2 linked regions of the Solanum lycopersicum genome follow. The protein of the gene in region 2 binds, or shares a complex with, the protein of the main gene of each other region. Links are inferred from orthologs where the notes say so. Each region holds a gene or a part of one and is shown on either strand. Other genes may lie near its edges.

The links.
Region 1: thioredoxin-like fold domain-containing protein MRL7, chloroplastic (region 2) and protein PLASTID TRANSCRIPTIONALLY ACTIVE 7 share a complex: the UniProt entries of both Arabidopsis thaliana proteins name them as parts of the transcriptionally active chromosome (TAC) complex. The link is inferred for Solanum lycopersicum from reciprocal best matches to the Arabidopsis thaliana genes MRL7 and PTAC7.

Annotation. Positions count from the first base shown.
Region 1 is NC_090802.1:49,585,367-49,592,936, forward strand, and holds the start of protein PLASTID TRANSCRIPTIONALLY ACTIVE 7, read right to left. Parts: upstream 4,040-7,570; 5' UTR 3,940-4,039; coding exon 3,886-3,939; intron 3,766-3,885; coding exon 3,712-3,765; intron 3,629-3,711; coding exon 3,554-3,628; intron 1-3,553. UniProt on the Arabidopsis thaliana protein: Essential for chloroplast development, especially for thylakoid formation. Involved in plastid gene expression, probably by maintaining plastid-encoded RNA polymerase (PEP) activity.
Region 2 is NC_090801.1:60,372,358-60,379,824, forward strand, and holds the start of thioredoxin-like fold domain-containing protein MRL7, chloroplastic, read left to right. Parts: upstream 1-2,646; 5' UTR 2,647-2,856; exon of another isoform or gene 2,857-2,950; coding exon of another isoform or gene 2,951-2,984; exon of another isoform or gene 2,985-3,501; 5' UTR 3,502-3,524; coding exon 3,525-4,270; intron 4,271-4,374; coding exon 4,375-4,459; intron 4,460-4,542; coding exon 4,543-4,654; intron 4,655-4,768; coding exon 4,769-4,872; 3' UTR 4,873-4,881; intron 4,882-4,955; exon of another isoform or gene 4,956-4,965; 3' UTR 4,966-7,467. UniProt on the Arabidopsis thaliana protein: Plays an essential role in early steps of chloroplast development. Involved in the regulation of plastid gene expression. May positively regulate plastid-encoded RNA polymerase (PEP) activity through binding to FSD3 and CITRX/TRXZ.

The sequences.
Region 1 (7,570 bases), on a different chromosome or scaffold from region 2:
AGGATTGGGCTAAGCTCCTAGACATGGCGCAATTTTCTTATAATTTGCAGAGGAGTGAATCTACAGGGCGCACACCGTTCGAGTTAGCAACGGGCCAGCAACCCCAAACTCCGCACTCATTGCCAACATTGTTCGAAGGGAAGAGTTTGGGCGCTTACAACCTTGCCAAGGGTTGGGAGGAGCAACTCGACCTTGCCAAATCTTATTTGAGCAAGGCGGCAAGGAGGATGAAGAAGTTCGCCGACCGCAAGCGTCGTCCCACCAACTATGAAGAAGGTGATATGGTTTTGGTAAAGTTTAATCCGAGGCAGTTTAAGGCGCTTAGAGGCATGCATCACAACCTGGTGCGGAAATATAAGGGTCCGTTCAAAATTGTTGCCAAGGTGGGTAAGATTTCATACAGATTGGAGTTACCTCCACACTTCAAAATCCACCCGGTCTTTCATGCCAGCGTCCTTAAGCCTTATCATGAGGACAAGGACGATCCCAGCCGGAACAAATCACAACGGGCCCCTATCACCGTTACTGCCTCGCATGATCGTGAGATTGAAGCTATCATAGATTACCAAGCCAAGCGGAAACGAGGACAACAGGCCAGTGCCATGTTTCTCGTACATTGGAAGGGACAAACTCCGGAGGAAGCCACATGGGAGAAGTACGAAGACTTGTGGCAGTTCAAAGGCAAAATTCAGGAGTTCTTGCAGCAGTGCGTCGCGGTCGTCGCATCATGGGGTGGGGGAGATTGTGACGTCCCGCCATCCATTCAGGCCGAACGCCACCCAACGAGGCAGCCAGCAGGCGCAGCAGGCGCAGGGGAGCAGGCTGACCACGCAGGTCAGCAGCCAAGGAGGCCTGCAGCAGCTGAAGAGGCAGCAGTTTCAGCTGTTACAACAGTTAGTGGGGCGGCTGTTACAGAAGTTACAAGTCTTTGAGAGGCTTGTGGAGATCATGGGGCAGACTAGGAGCATCTAGGAGTCCTTTTTGGAAGACTTGGAAGCTTGTCTTGTAGGCATAGTCTTAGGAACTTGTATAGTTTATTTACTAACTCTTAGGCAGCATTAGAGTAGTATAAATAGTAGATTACTTTACTTGTAAAGCATCCAATTATTTTCAAGTAATAGAAGTTCCTTCTTCCAAAGTTCTGTCTTACTTCTTATTTTCTTAGCGATCTGAGTTTTAGGCTTACTAGAGTTTGCAAGAACGTGCAAGAGTCGTGAGTAAACCGTCTAGTGCCGCACGGAACTTAGTCCGAATCAAAAAGTCCGTGACACTAAGCTAGCTGTTAACTTTTGGAGTTAGTTTCACGGATTAGTAATAGCTCAGTGTTATTACTACAAAGCTAAGATATAAGATATGTTACTCAGGTTTTCAAACATAAGAAAAAATCTATTTCTATTTCTGCCATAACTTTCTCTGAGCTATCCCCTTTTTTCATCAACTCAAATCCTCTATTCAAGAACTATAAAGATGTTTGATTAGGCAATAAAGTCAGCTTTTCACCATCAAAGCATGCCTTCAAGGTTAAATACACTCTATTCCTAGTCAGACCATAGAAGATCACCAAATATTAGTGGATCCACAAGAGATGATTCACTATATGAAGTGAGAAACAACAAGAGATGAAGGCTAATTTGTGGAGGAAAAGAAAACATAACAAACCCTAAAGTTGTGCAATAAAGCTTGATGGACAAAAAGAACATTTTAGCAAAGGCTGAAACAACTACAAGTTTGTCTCAAGAACCCAACCTTGACAAATATGGGTAAAAAAGTTTGGGGACGTTTGGTTCACATATTGGTTAGTAAGGATTATAATGCAAGAATCCTTTATGATGTGATCAATAATGAAAGAATTGTTATGCAGTGATTATTAGTAAAGAAAAGATTGTCACAAATGAGTTACTTAGTCTAAAAGGGCAATTTATCTTTAAATAGTTTAATCTCTACATTGCTACTACATGTGCTATTATTTTACATTCTATCAAGCATAAATAATATTAAAGTCATGCATAACTTAATTCAGGTATCATTTAGTACTGCCAACCAAATGTTGCATTTTATTTATGAAGCGATAATTTTTTGTGTATATGGTTGACCATACGCTATATTATCCTATGGACCAACGCAAGATTTTTACTGAGATCAATTGTTCCTATACCATCAGCAAAAGGACCCCTTAAAAATATCATTATTCTATGAACAACCAGGAAATAACAAATAAAACTGGAATGACATAAAGAAGATTAGCATGCCTATAGGCAAGGATGACATGCACAGATCAAGAAATAACAAATAAAATCTTAAACTATGAGGAATATGCTAGCTTTCACTCTTTACTTAGGGGCCTCATACGAAAACCTAATAGCAGGTAAAAACACGAGAAAGAACCATCTACCAAGGAATGACATGTACTTAAATTCAGATTACTGCTCAAAAATGATATACAGATGGTAAAACATTTTGCCTTTGCAGCAACCACAAAACCAGAATATCGGAGCATGGACATGATCAACTATTAAAAAGAACCCAGTCAGAACTGAGCCGCATACATACAAAGCCCCTATTGAATCAGAAGCCTTAATTATGACATCTCGAGCCACAGATACTCAGGATCTAGTGTTCAGCCTAAATCATTTGGACATACAACTAGTCAGGATAACAGTACACTCTCCAAACTTGGTATTATCTACTTGCAGGGTCCACCAAACAAGATCAACACACAAATGCAATAAGTGAAATCATCATTTCCCCTACCTTCAATTTCTAGTGGGTTAGGTTTTGCATTATCATCCAGAGAGAAGTGATGTACTGACAGAAAGCTTGAACCCCTGATGTGGGAGATCTGTTAGGTTTCAATATCTATCACTTTGCCTACAGTGGTTTGTAGTTAATAAAAACATAAAATCCAAGCAAAAAGGAAAGATGGCTAGCTTGATATGGCACATAAAATGGGTAAAAGGGTCTGATTCAGATCAAATGTGGATATCATCCCTCTTCTAAAGACGATACAATCAATCTCAAGTAACAATTCTAAGAATTCAAAAACTAATTAACCAAGAAATTCATCGTTCAAATCAAGGCATCCAAAATGACTTAAAGAAATATAAGTTCAAACTTGGAAACGAAAACAACAGCAAAGATGAAGAAAAGTATTATCAGCCTACAATAATATATCAAGCATAGTCTAATATGTCTACCACAAATATAGTTTTCACTTGAGTTACACCAAATATACCCACGGTGTAAAGAATATTTAAGCAAATCTACTCACTTAAAAGCCAACTATAAACAATTGTCTATGCCCATGATTCTATAGTAAGCCTGACTTGATGTAAGTAACCTGCCAAAATCAGTGAAACTGACAACAAAAATCGATTGTGCATATAGCTTAGATCCTTTCAACTATAGCCCATACAAGGCAAGCACAATACGTACGAAACATCCTACTCTTATATCTAATTCCGGTAAATTCAATGGTGCACATCGAAAAATAAACATTAAAACAAACAGAATGAAACGAGCAGGAAAAAGCACGAATCAGAGTTCCTTAACTTACCAATTTTCTTCGCCTCCATATTCGCCTTTCTCCACGGCCTTCATTTTTAGAATTCGACGCACTCTGTACACCAAACTAAAAACAAAAGTTACAAACACTTGTGCAAAAAAAAAAATCACAGCTGAAAATAGATAGCGACGGCTACGAAGAACTGTCACCTGCGCCCGAATACACAAGTTCACGCGTTTTTTATTTTCAAGTGCTGCAATTCTCTGCATTGAAGACAAATTATCATTCTCCGGATTCACAAATTAAGAACGGAGAGTCAAACTGGAAACCGGCGAAGATCCCGGCGAATATAAAACAGGATAAAAATAGAACGAGGAGCTTACGGGGAAAGTTTGTAGTGTTGAAAAGCTACTGAAAGTCAGGGTTGATGCTGCCATTGTTTTTCGCCCTTCGATTGTGTTCTTCTCCCTCTGATAAAAGGGGATAACGCAAATGATATCCTACTGTTTCTTTTTTCAAACTTTGCAAGTTAATTTATTGGCAGTTAGACCCTGATGTTTTTAAAAATGTTCCATTATGCCTTTGTTATTCATATTTGTTTCTTGATTTTCGTAATTTTAGAGCAGTTTCGCAAATATAACATCCTACAAGCCCTCTTTTTGCAATACTTCCTCCGTCTCAGTTATTAATTACTCCCTCTGTCCCAAAATGCGACATTATTTTCTTTTTTGGTCGGTCCATAAAAAAATATCATATTTTTTTACATGGTAAGTATTTACAGATACAAATTCTTTTTTATTCTTGTTGGTTTTACTTAATTTTAAATAGTACTACTCTAAAACGTTTGAGGAAAGAGAAAAGTGAGTCTACTTCGATTTGATAAACAATTCAAAGTTTTCATTAATTTCTTAAACTCCGTGCCGGGCCAAAAATGCCACATAAAATGGAACGAAGTGAGTATTAAAAAAATACACCTTATATTAAAAATATGTTTTTTAATATGAGAAAATTATATATAATAGCAAACTAATAACCTAAAATAAACGGAGTAGCTATGGTTTAATTTAATTGTACTCCATAGCAAACGTTTGCAAAAAATTGTCAGGCGCCTCTCTCCTAAGTATCTCGCTCGCCACTCTCCTAACAATCTCTCGCTCGCTTCCTCACTTTTTATACAAACACAAATGTATAAAAATTGTTTCTAATTGTATAAAGCAGAGAAAATTGTATAAATACATATATTTTTGTTTCCCTCTCTCCCCTCTTCCAGATCTCGCTCGCCACTCTCCCAAATTTCACTCGCCACCCTCGCCTTTCTCACTTATACAAACAGAAGCGAAATGTATAAATTGCATTTCTGTTTGTATAAAGTGTGAGAAAATTGTATATACACATGCAAGTACGTGTATTTTCGTCCTATACACTTATAATTATACAATAAAAATACTCCCCTGCCCAGTTTCTTTTGCCTTTCTCTCTTTCTCGTTTTATACAATTTTCAAATTGTATATAATTTCTCTCTTTCTCTTTTTATACAATTCGATTCAATTGTATATTCCTTGTCAAGTCTCTTTTGTCTTTCTCTCTTTCTCGTTTTATACAAATTCAAATTGTTTATGATCGTTCTATACACTTATAATAATGCAATTCGTTTTATACATTTCGTTTTTATACAGTTCTCTGCCCAAGTGTCTTTCTCTTTCTTGTTTTATACACTTCGTTTTATACAATTTGCTTCAACGGTATATGTATAACGAATTATACATTTTATATGTTTGCTATGGAACACAATTATGCAAACTTTGTTATAGCATACAAATATGAATTTTTTATTTGCTATATGTGAAAGTTGCTCTTTTAATCTTGCTCGATTTTTAATAAACTACTCTCTTCGTTTCAAAAAGGATAAACTTGTTTGACTTGACACGGAGTTTAAGAAAAAAAAAATTGAATCGTGTGATCCTAAATTAAAGTGTCCTTTAATTTTATGGTCTTAAACATGTCACGTGAAAAATAGAAATTAAAATGTAACTAAAAAAAGCAAGATTTTTTTTTAAAAATAGACTAAAAAAATGAAACCATTCTTTTTGAAACGGATAAAGTAATAAATAAGGGTAATTTGGTAAATACTATTTTTTTAATAAGCACAAAAACTAAAAAGAATCAAAACAACACTTATTTTGAGAAAGAAAAAAGTATACAATTATAATCGTACTTGTAGATGAGTTTAAAAAATAAAAGTCCAATATATATGTATATAAGAGGAACCATCATCTAAAATGTATATTGTATGTGTGTTAGGAGTGTATATCAAGTATTTAGTTACTCATCATAACTATAATTTACTATAATTATCACTCGTGATTAATATTGTACATTAATTACGTGAGTTGACTTTGAATTTGTATTAGTCACATTTGTATATGTATAATTCGCCAAAAAATACAAATAGATATGTATAATATACAATTATTTAATATATATGCATATACAATTCACCTCTCTCCCACTCTCTGCCCTCTCTCGCTCGCCTCTCTCCTCCTTCTCCCAATCTTGTTCGCCTCCCTCCTCCCTCTCCCAATCTCGCTTGCCATATATACAAATGCATATGTATAATACACAATTATCTAATCGATTTACATATACATGGTTCACCTTTCTCCCACTATTTTCCCCCTCTCTCTCCCAGTCTTCCTCACCTCTCTCTTTCCTATAGCATGTAGCTACAAATTGTAATTATCAAATTATAGCTATAAAAAGTAATAAGACTATTTTTAAATGGCTATATGTGAAAATTTTCTATTTTTTAACGCATCAATTGGTCATCTTTTTTTTTTCTTGATCAAATGAGTGTTTGATGTACAAGTACAGTAACTATGTTATTATCAATTTTTAACATCATAAATTGGTCAATATTTGTTTTTCTTGGTCAAATAAGTAATTTTAGATTCTAGAAATCCTCTGAATTTTACAAAATACATGTACATATGAATTTCCCTCTAGAATATTTCAATTCACCATTTTGGTCTTTCAACGTTCATTTATCGTAGTTTGTATATATCATTCACCATGAAAAATAAAAAATGCTTAACAATTATGAATTTCCCTGCAGAATATTCCAATTCACCATTTTGGTCTTTCAATGTGCATTTACCGTAGTTTGTATATATCATTCATCATGAAAAATCTATATATATATATATATATATATATATATATATATATATATATATATATATATATATATATATATATATATCACTAAGATATGTTTATATAATTTCATGTTGTACCTAAAAAGTTAAAAGAATGAATTGTATAAACAAAAATAAATATGAATTTCAACAAATATATTTAAGTCTTCTTATTAAGAAATTAGCTTGAAGTAATTAATTTTGTTAAGTCATTACCTACATTGAATATATTTATTCCTTGATCAAAGGAGAAATTTTAGATTCTTCAAATCTTCTTTAACAAAAAATAAATAATATAAACGAGATTTCCTCTACGTTATTTCATTTCAAATTTTTTTAGCATGTATTATTTATCATAACTCGTAAATATAAAGACGCTTTGATAAATTACCATAGTGGCAAAAATCATGTGAGTAAGGTAGTAGTACACACTTACACACTTCATACTATAGTACATACATATATATATTTATTGGTTAGTTATGGGCCAAAAGTAATTAGTTCAGCTAACAAACAGATATGAGTATTGACTGGCAAGTTTAACAAAGAAGGAACCTTCCGTCTTTTCCTTAAAACTAACATAGTCGATAAAAAAAGTACTACTACTACTACTCTACCAACAAAACGACGACGTCAAAAGCGGTGAACGTGAGTTACACGGCCACCACAGTATTGGGTCCCACACCGCCAAAAAAATACCTTCAATTATCAAAGATCATAAAAAGCTGCGTACAGCAAGTGAATAAAGTAGAGAGAAAAAAGAAAAAAAAAATAAAGCTAAAAATGATGAACACATTGAACAAGATTGATGAAGAAAAGCTTGATTATGGCAAGTTGATTTAGGGTTTTTTTTTGAACTCTGTTCTGTACTGTA
Region 2 (7,467 bases):
GATCCTCCATAATTGTTGTTACTTGTATTGCCAGAGCAGTTTTCACTAGAGAATGATGTTTTGTAGTTTCTTCTTGTTGATCCCTTTCCACTATTGTTAGAAGAGTTCACATTCAAGGAAATCGATTCCATAGGGGTTTGATTAGCAGGTTTAAACTCCCTTTGTTTCTCCTCTTGAATCATCTAGGAAAAGGCTTGTGCCATTGTTGGAAGAGGATTCATCATAAGAATGTTGCCTCTTATCACAGTATACACCTCATTCATCCCCATTAAGATTTGTATCAAGCGTCTGTCTTGTTCTGCTTTGTATAATCCATCTTTGGCTCCACAACTACAAGCACAAGAGCACTGATTTTTTACATTCAAAGTGCTCAATTCTTCCCAAAGCTTTTTCATCCTGTTGTAGTAGACTGTTATATCCAAATTTCCCTGTGTGAGATCATTAATCTCTTTTTGAATTTGATACAGCTTTGCTCCATTTGTTTGGTCATATCTATCTTCAAGTTCCTTCCAAAGTTCCACTGAATCACTAACATACTCTACACTATCTGCAATTTCCTTAGTAAGAGAGTTTAAAATCCAGGAAGTCACCATGTCATCGCATCTCTGCCATTGATGCAACTGATTTGAGCTTGCAGTTGGTTTAACACAACTACCATCAATGAATCCAAACTTGTTCTTTACTGACAAAGCTCGCATAACTCCCCTTCTCCAGGATCTATATCCTGTTCCATCGAATTGAGTTGGTACCAACACCATACCAGGGCTATCCGAAGGGTGTATGTAGAGAGTGTTGTGTGCATCATCATTAACAGAGGTTCCTTGTGCTGAAGGAGCACTTTCAGGTCTTGTCATGATGAAGGATCGACTGGATCACAGGAAAAACAATTAAACAAGAAGAATCAACAACAAATTCAAATCAAAAGTAGCAAGAACAGCCTTGCTCTGATACCATATTAAACTGATCAATAATGGTGATTTACACCAAAACAGAAAGGAACCATAATAATCGATTTAGGAAGAAGAAGAAGAAGAAGAAGGAGGAGGAGGAGGCATCGTATGTGTTGAATTGTAGAAGATGCAAAACTACTATCTTCATGTATTGATTCTCATTTATATACAAGAGAATTGTAATCACATATCCAACAAATACAAAAGATATGAAATACAAAATGTGTGACTAACTAACTTTCAAAAATCTAACTAACTTGATGTGACATCCAACTAACACTCTAACTAACATAACTAACAAACTAATCATAATTATATTGTTAATACAAACATAAAAGGGCAAAGCCGTGGTTTGACCACATATTCTATTCAAATTTCAAACATAAAGGATTTTTATCATCTTCGGAGAAGAAAAAATAATAGTACAAGAATTTAATAAACAAAGTGACGGTTCACCTTTGCTATCATAATTGAGTGAAAATAAAATAAAATTGAAAGATGAATTCCTTAGCACCAACCGAGCATCATTAGTTTCCTTGAAAATCCATTGTAAGGCATTTTGACGAATGAAAAGGCTGACTTGGTCCAAAAACAAAATTTCCAACAAGCAAGGCAAGTTCTAAGAAAATAATAGACAAGTCCGTAAGCTCGTCTGACTAGTCTAGAAAACGGGACATAGAAAACTTCCTTATGAATCACACTTTAATTTATGTCATTAACAAGCAATATTTGTGATAGAAGTTGAACTACAGGTAAAACAAAGATGGTACATATAGAGTTTCAAGATTTTCTGCCAATTATGGCGATAAAGCTATGCGGAGAGGGACTGATCAACGAGCTATGCAAAGGTTATCGGATGTTAATGGATGGTGAGAAAGGCGTGATCACAATTGATAGCTTAAAGAGGAACTCTAAGCTGATGGGATTGCAAGATTTTAGTGATGAAGAATTGAAGAACATGATTAGAGAAGGAGATATGAATGGTGATGGAGCTCTTGATAAGATTGAATTTTGTATTTTGATGTTTAGATTGAGTCCTGACTTGTTACTTGTGGCTCAACAATTGTTACATAAAGCTCATCAATAACAAAATAATACTGTCCACCTTAAGTGATACTGTACTACTATTCCTGATTCATCATATTCATATGTAATGTTTCACTTCATTTGTCAATGTTAAACTTTTCTTCTTATCAAGTTAGTTTGCATACTATAATTCAATTAAATTTCACAGAGACGTTATTTTCTACCAAATATAGGTATTGCGTTAATAGCTTTATCCAACAAAGGACAAATAAAAAAAATCACCTACGATATTTTTATCACCCCAGAATTTTCAACCCTCTCCATTAGCCTAGCGGCCAAACTTAAGAACATATTTGGACCAAAAGAGGTATCAGTGAACCAAACTTTAAATGGAGGGTATATCTAAACCTTTTCTAATAGTTTAGGGGTATATTTGACCCTTTTCCCTTTAAAATATAATTGTCAAAATACCAACTTAGCTATATAATAAAACTAATTACTCAACTTTCATTAAATATCCCAAAAATATTCTAGGCCAAAGACCAATAAAAGCTAGGCTAGAAATCACCCTAAACAATTTTTTCCCCTCTCAAGTAAAATAAAAAATAAACCTAAGTTTGGAGCAAAGGTAGGTGTTTTACGAGACAATATTGGGTTATGGTATTCATTTGGATAAAGTTTAGAAATATTTTCGCCTCATGTCATTAAAAATATTTAATATTTTTTATGAAGTTTCAACTTAAAATAAATATTGGCTGTTGTTTTTATTCATTTGCTCTGCCCTCCCATCCTTCAAAATAAAGTTGAAATATTTCTTATAGGATTAGAACAAGTAGGGACTGGACAAACGGAACTTGAGATTTAGCTTCTTCATTCTCAGGTAGTCCTTTGTTGTATTTTTAAGAAAGGTAACAAAGTACTTGCGAACGGATTATTTATTATTGCTATAAACTTTGATTCTATGATTCACTAACCTTTAGCTCTGCTGTTTGCCATTGTTGTAATCATCAAGTTATAAACATAATTAATGCACTGTTGGTTGCACTTGTACTGTATCGACAGTCTGGTAACTTATGCACACAACCTGTTTGATTATTTGCTCATTAGACTTTTATCCTCTATGCTTCAAAATAGGTAACCTTTTAACTGTAGCCAGAAGCAGACTTAGGATGTTAAGCCAGTCCATGTGGAGTACCACCATCTATACTACTATTTAGTGTCGGTGGGTGACAATGCTGACTTAGTTCAATACATTTTTGTAAAAGTGGGCTAGTAGTACTGTGCTCAACAATTCAACATCAATGTTATGGCTTCTACAGTTGACTTTGTTTAACTACATTTTGAATGTTATGCTAGTCTTTTTCTGTTTGTCTTTTAGTTATGTACATAAGAATATGGAGTGGATGTTTTCTATTTTGTGTTTTGTAGAAAGGAGTTTGATAAAATCTGTTCTTAATTTTGATTGGTGTTATCGACAGGTTTTTTATATTAGGAGTTATCCCTAATAGAGATTTTGATTTTCCAGGCGAAGTAGTTAAGCGAGGGAAGATGGTCATCCATTCTGCATTAAATCTTAACTTTTGTGCTATTTCATCACTCTCTGCACTCAAAGCAGGGCAACATTGTAGTTCTTGCTCTTTTTCTAACTTCCTATTGCCGCCTCCTTTGAAACGTTTGACTTGCTTTGCCACTTCAAAAAAGTCTGAAGAGGAACATGTGTCTGATCCTAAGAATAACTCTGGTTCAAGGTCTAGAAAAGCTATAAGGTCCCGGGAAAGTAAAGTAACTCATAACGAAGACAAAGATTCTGCCAAGATCTTCCCATCAACAATCCCTAAAAAGCCAAGGCGTGGTCGCAGGAGCGAAGCAGCTGCAGTTGAGGATTTTGTTCGTGATTCATTAGAAAAGACATTTGCCTCTATCCGAGAGCAGAACTCTGATATGATGAAAGATACCGAGAATATCCTCAAAGATAGGGTTGATGATGACACTGAGTCTGATGAAAGTAGTGATGATGAAGATGACAGCAGTAGGGATAAGAAAGAAAAGAAAATGATCATTGAGGAGGAGGATCCAAATTGGCCTCTGGATGCAGACGTTGGATGGGGAATTAGAGCATCAGAGTATTTTGACAAGCATCCAATAAAAAATGTTATAGGAGAAGATGGAGTTGAGATCGATTGGGAGGGGGAGATTGATGATTGCTGGGTGAAGGAAATCAATTGTCTTGAGTGGGAGAGCTTCGCTTTTCATCCCAGTCCCCTCATTGTACTTGTTTTTGAGAGATACAATCGGCAAGTGGATCTTGTTTTGTTTACAAATTGAAGTCCTAAAGGATATATTCTATAAGCAATATGCAAGTCTTTTATGTTCTCTGAGACAATTGCTAATTGCACAGGGCTAGTGACAACTGGAAAGCTCTTAAGGAGCTGGAGAAAGCAGCCAAGGTGTATTGGAGTGCCAAAGAGCGCTTGCCTCCTCGGGTTTGTGAAACATAATCACTTCTCCTTACATTGTGCATTAGTAAACCCTCTTATCTTACATTTCCCCTAATTACTTGGTGTAGACTGTGAAGATTGACATTAATATTGAGAGGGATCTAGCCTATGCGCTTAAAGTCAAAGAAAGTCCACAGATATTGTTCTTACGAGGAAACAGGATACTATACAGGGAAAAAGGTACTCTTTATATATCCCCTCACTAGTTTGATAAAGTAATTGTAATCTTTTCAGCTAAATTCATTGTTATGTTGAATGATTGTTTACTTTGCAACTCCGGATAAATTTGTGCAGAAATTCGTACAGCTGATGACTTGGTTCAAATGATAGCATATTTTTACTACAATGCGAAAAAACCTTCATGCATTGATGATGCAGCTTTATCTCAACAGTCTTAGTCAACGGAGGTACTGATGCTGACTTGTCTAGGCTTTCATTGAAGCTCATAGATTAATGTCACTAAAAATATTTGAACTTCTAGCACGTCGCAGATTAAGAAAGAGGCAGTGGAGCATGGATCTATCCCTGTATAACTGGAACCAATTGTGGTCGTTTTGTCACTGGAAAACAATTGACCAATTGAGGGCAGAACCTTAGAAGAATGACTGGTTGAAACGAGATCATGGTACTGCTCGCTTGATGCTTGCAGGTGCTGATGTAATTAGCAAGTGGAAGGTTGAAGAAAAAGGTTATATCCTATAATGTGCTTAAATTAGTGCCACATTTATTACTATATAGAAGAGGATAGTTGGAAAGAGAACACTCAGTTGCATGATCTTACTTTAGTTCTATTTGCTTGTTTACATATCATACTAGCCCTAGATGTCTATAAATTACTTTCTGTATTTAATTAGAAAAGTTCATGCATCTTCTGTTACTTGTATCTTGACCTTGCTGGCTATAACTAAATTAGAGTTATTGTTTTCGGGGGAGACGTATGTCACGCTAGGTACGGAACTTTTTTCCATTAATACTAACCTAGATAGATATGAATGGATAATGTATATACCTTGCTTTATTCCATCTTAAGATAAGAAATTAAAGTTAAGATCAGATAAACAAGACACTGTATGTCCATTGGATGGGTTAACTGTGTGTGCTTTTATCTGTTTTAGGTTATATTCAGACACTAAAGTGCTTTCCTTTGAAAAGTTTTGGATACCACATTATCAGGAATATGCCCTGATTAAACATATGTTAAATCACTCAACATCAAACCTAACTAGGACCATTTGTAGATAATACAGTTTAACAAAACCTGAACTCTGAATAGACTCAACTAACAAACTTTCACCTAATTGACCTCTTAAATATGCGGTGATCTTGTTTATCTACTTAATTCTTGGTGGGTGAAGTCTGACGATATTGTGGTGGGAGGTGACAGATATTTGATGATACTCTCTCAATTTTAATTTGTTTTGTTTTTTCTACTTTCTTTCATAGTCCATTTCAACATATGTTTAATTTCGATGGCATATTTAAGGCTACAAGGTTAAAAGTTATTTTCGTATATTCTTCACATGTGTAATTTAAGACCGCAAGATTTAAAAAGCTTCTTTACTTTCTTAAATTTTATCTTGTAGGATCTGCACAGCTTCCCTTGTTAGTTGTTATGTTTTCTTATCCTTTGTACTTGAATTTGCTACCCTTGATTCGAGGGTCTTTTAAAAACATTTTTACCTCCACGTGATAGTAATAAAATTTGTACAAGTTTTATTCTCTTCAAACCTCATTTGTGAGATTTACTGAGTATATTATTATTATTTTACCTTGTTAAATTAAAAGAGATGAAGTATAACGAAGGAGTTGGCTAGAACACCAATCTAGAAAAAGTTCCACGCCCTTCCGAAGAACCTATTGTATGGTGGGACAAATAAAACCATTTAATTGATCAATAATTTTATAAGTAACATTTATTAAGTTGTGATGATAGGAATATACTGTAAAACGATCCAGACATTTGGCAAATATGAGAGGTTGTCACGAAGGCTTTAATTTTGTCATAACGGAAAATTTACAATTTAAAAGAGGTCCCATTTACCAACCTATGTCATTCTCAATTTTCTTAATTCCAACATCCATTCACTTATTTATTCTTGTCGTTTGCTTTTATGATTATCACAGCTATCGAAAATAGGCGTATATACCCTTTTATATAGTTGGAAATTATTGCATGCTAAGTATTAATAATTTATTAAGTGAGAATGAAAATAGCATCTTATATCAAGGATCGAAAAAGATAAAATGGATTGAGATTAGAAAAAGTAAAAATTTTATCAGTAATATTTTATACTATTAATTAATCAAGTTAATTAACTTGGAACGTATATACTATAAATCTCTCATCGCAGGATCACGAAATTCACGTGGTAAAAGAAACATTCAACTCTTTATATTGACGTGTTTTTATGTTATTGGATTTTAATGCTTTCTATAAAAAATTTAATTTGCATATTTAAGTGAGTTGACTTGTAACAGTTCCACTTCCACCGCTAGGGGTAAATCAGTAAATGAATATAATTTTCATAACGGTTACACTTTCTCGTGACTACAGACCGATATATTAATCAGGGGACCGTTAAGATAGCACCCTACTAAATTTTACTTCCAAAAATACCCCTTTTCATTAAACTGCGATTTTTTGAAATTTTGTTAACCAATGAAAAGATATTGAGTTTATTTTTAGGAATAACTTATAAGATTCAATTTCCTTTTTTAAGAGAAAAAGTGACCGACAAATCTTTTTGGATTAATTTAGCTTGAGAGTCCCAAACGGCAAATATCAGACTTGTCACTATCTAGCAAATTACTATATGTTTTTTTTCCTAATTATTATTTTCACCTACCCATTTTGAGATAATGTATTACGATTATTCAAGATATGATGTGAGTTAATATATTACTATTATTGATGTCATTTTCAAGGAGAATAATGTCATTTTACATAGTGATGCATGTCACAAGCTGAGCTCTTCAACCTCACAAGTGTACAC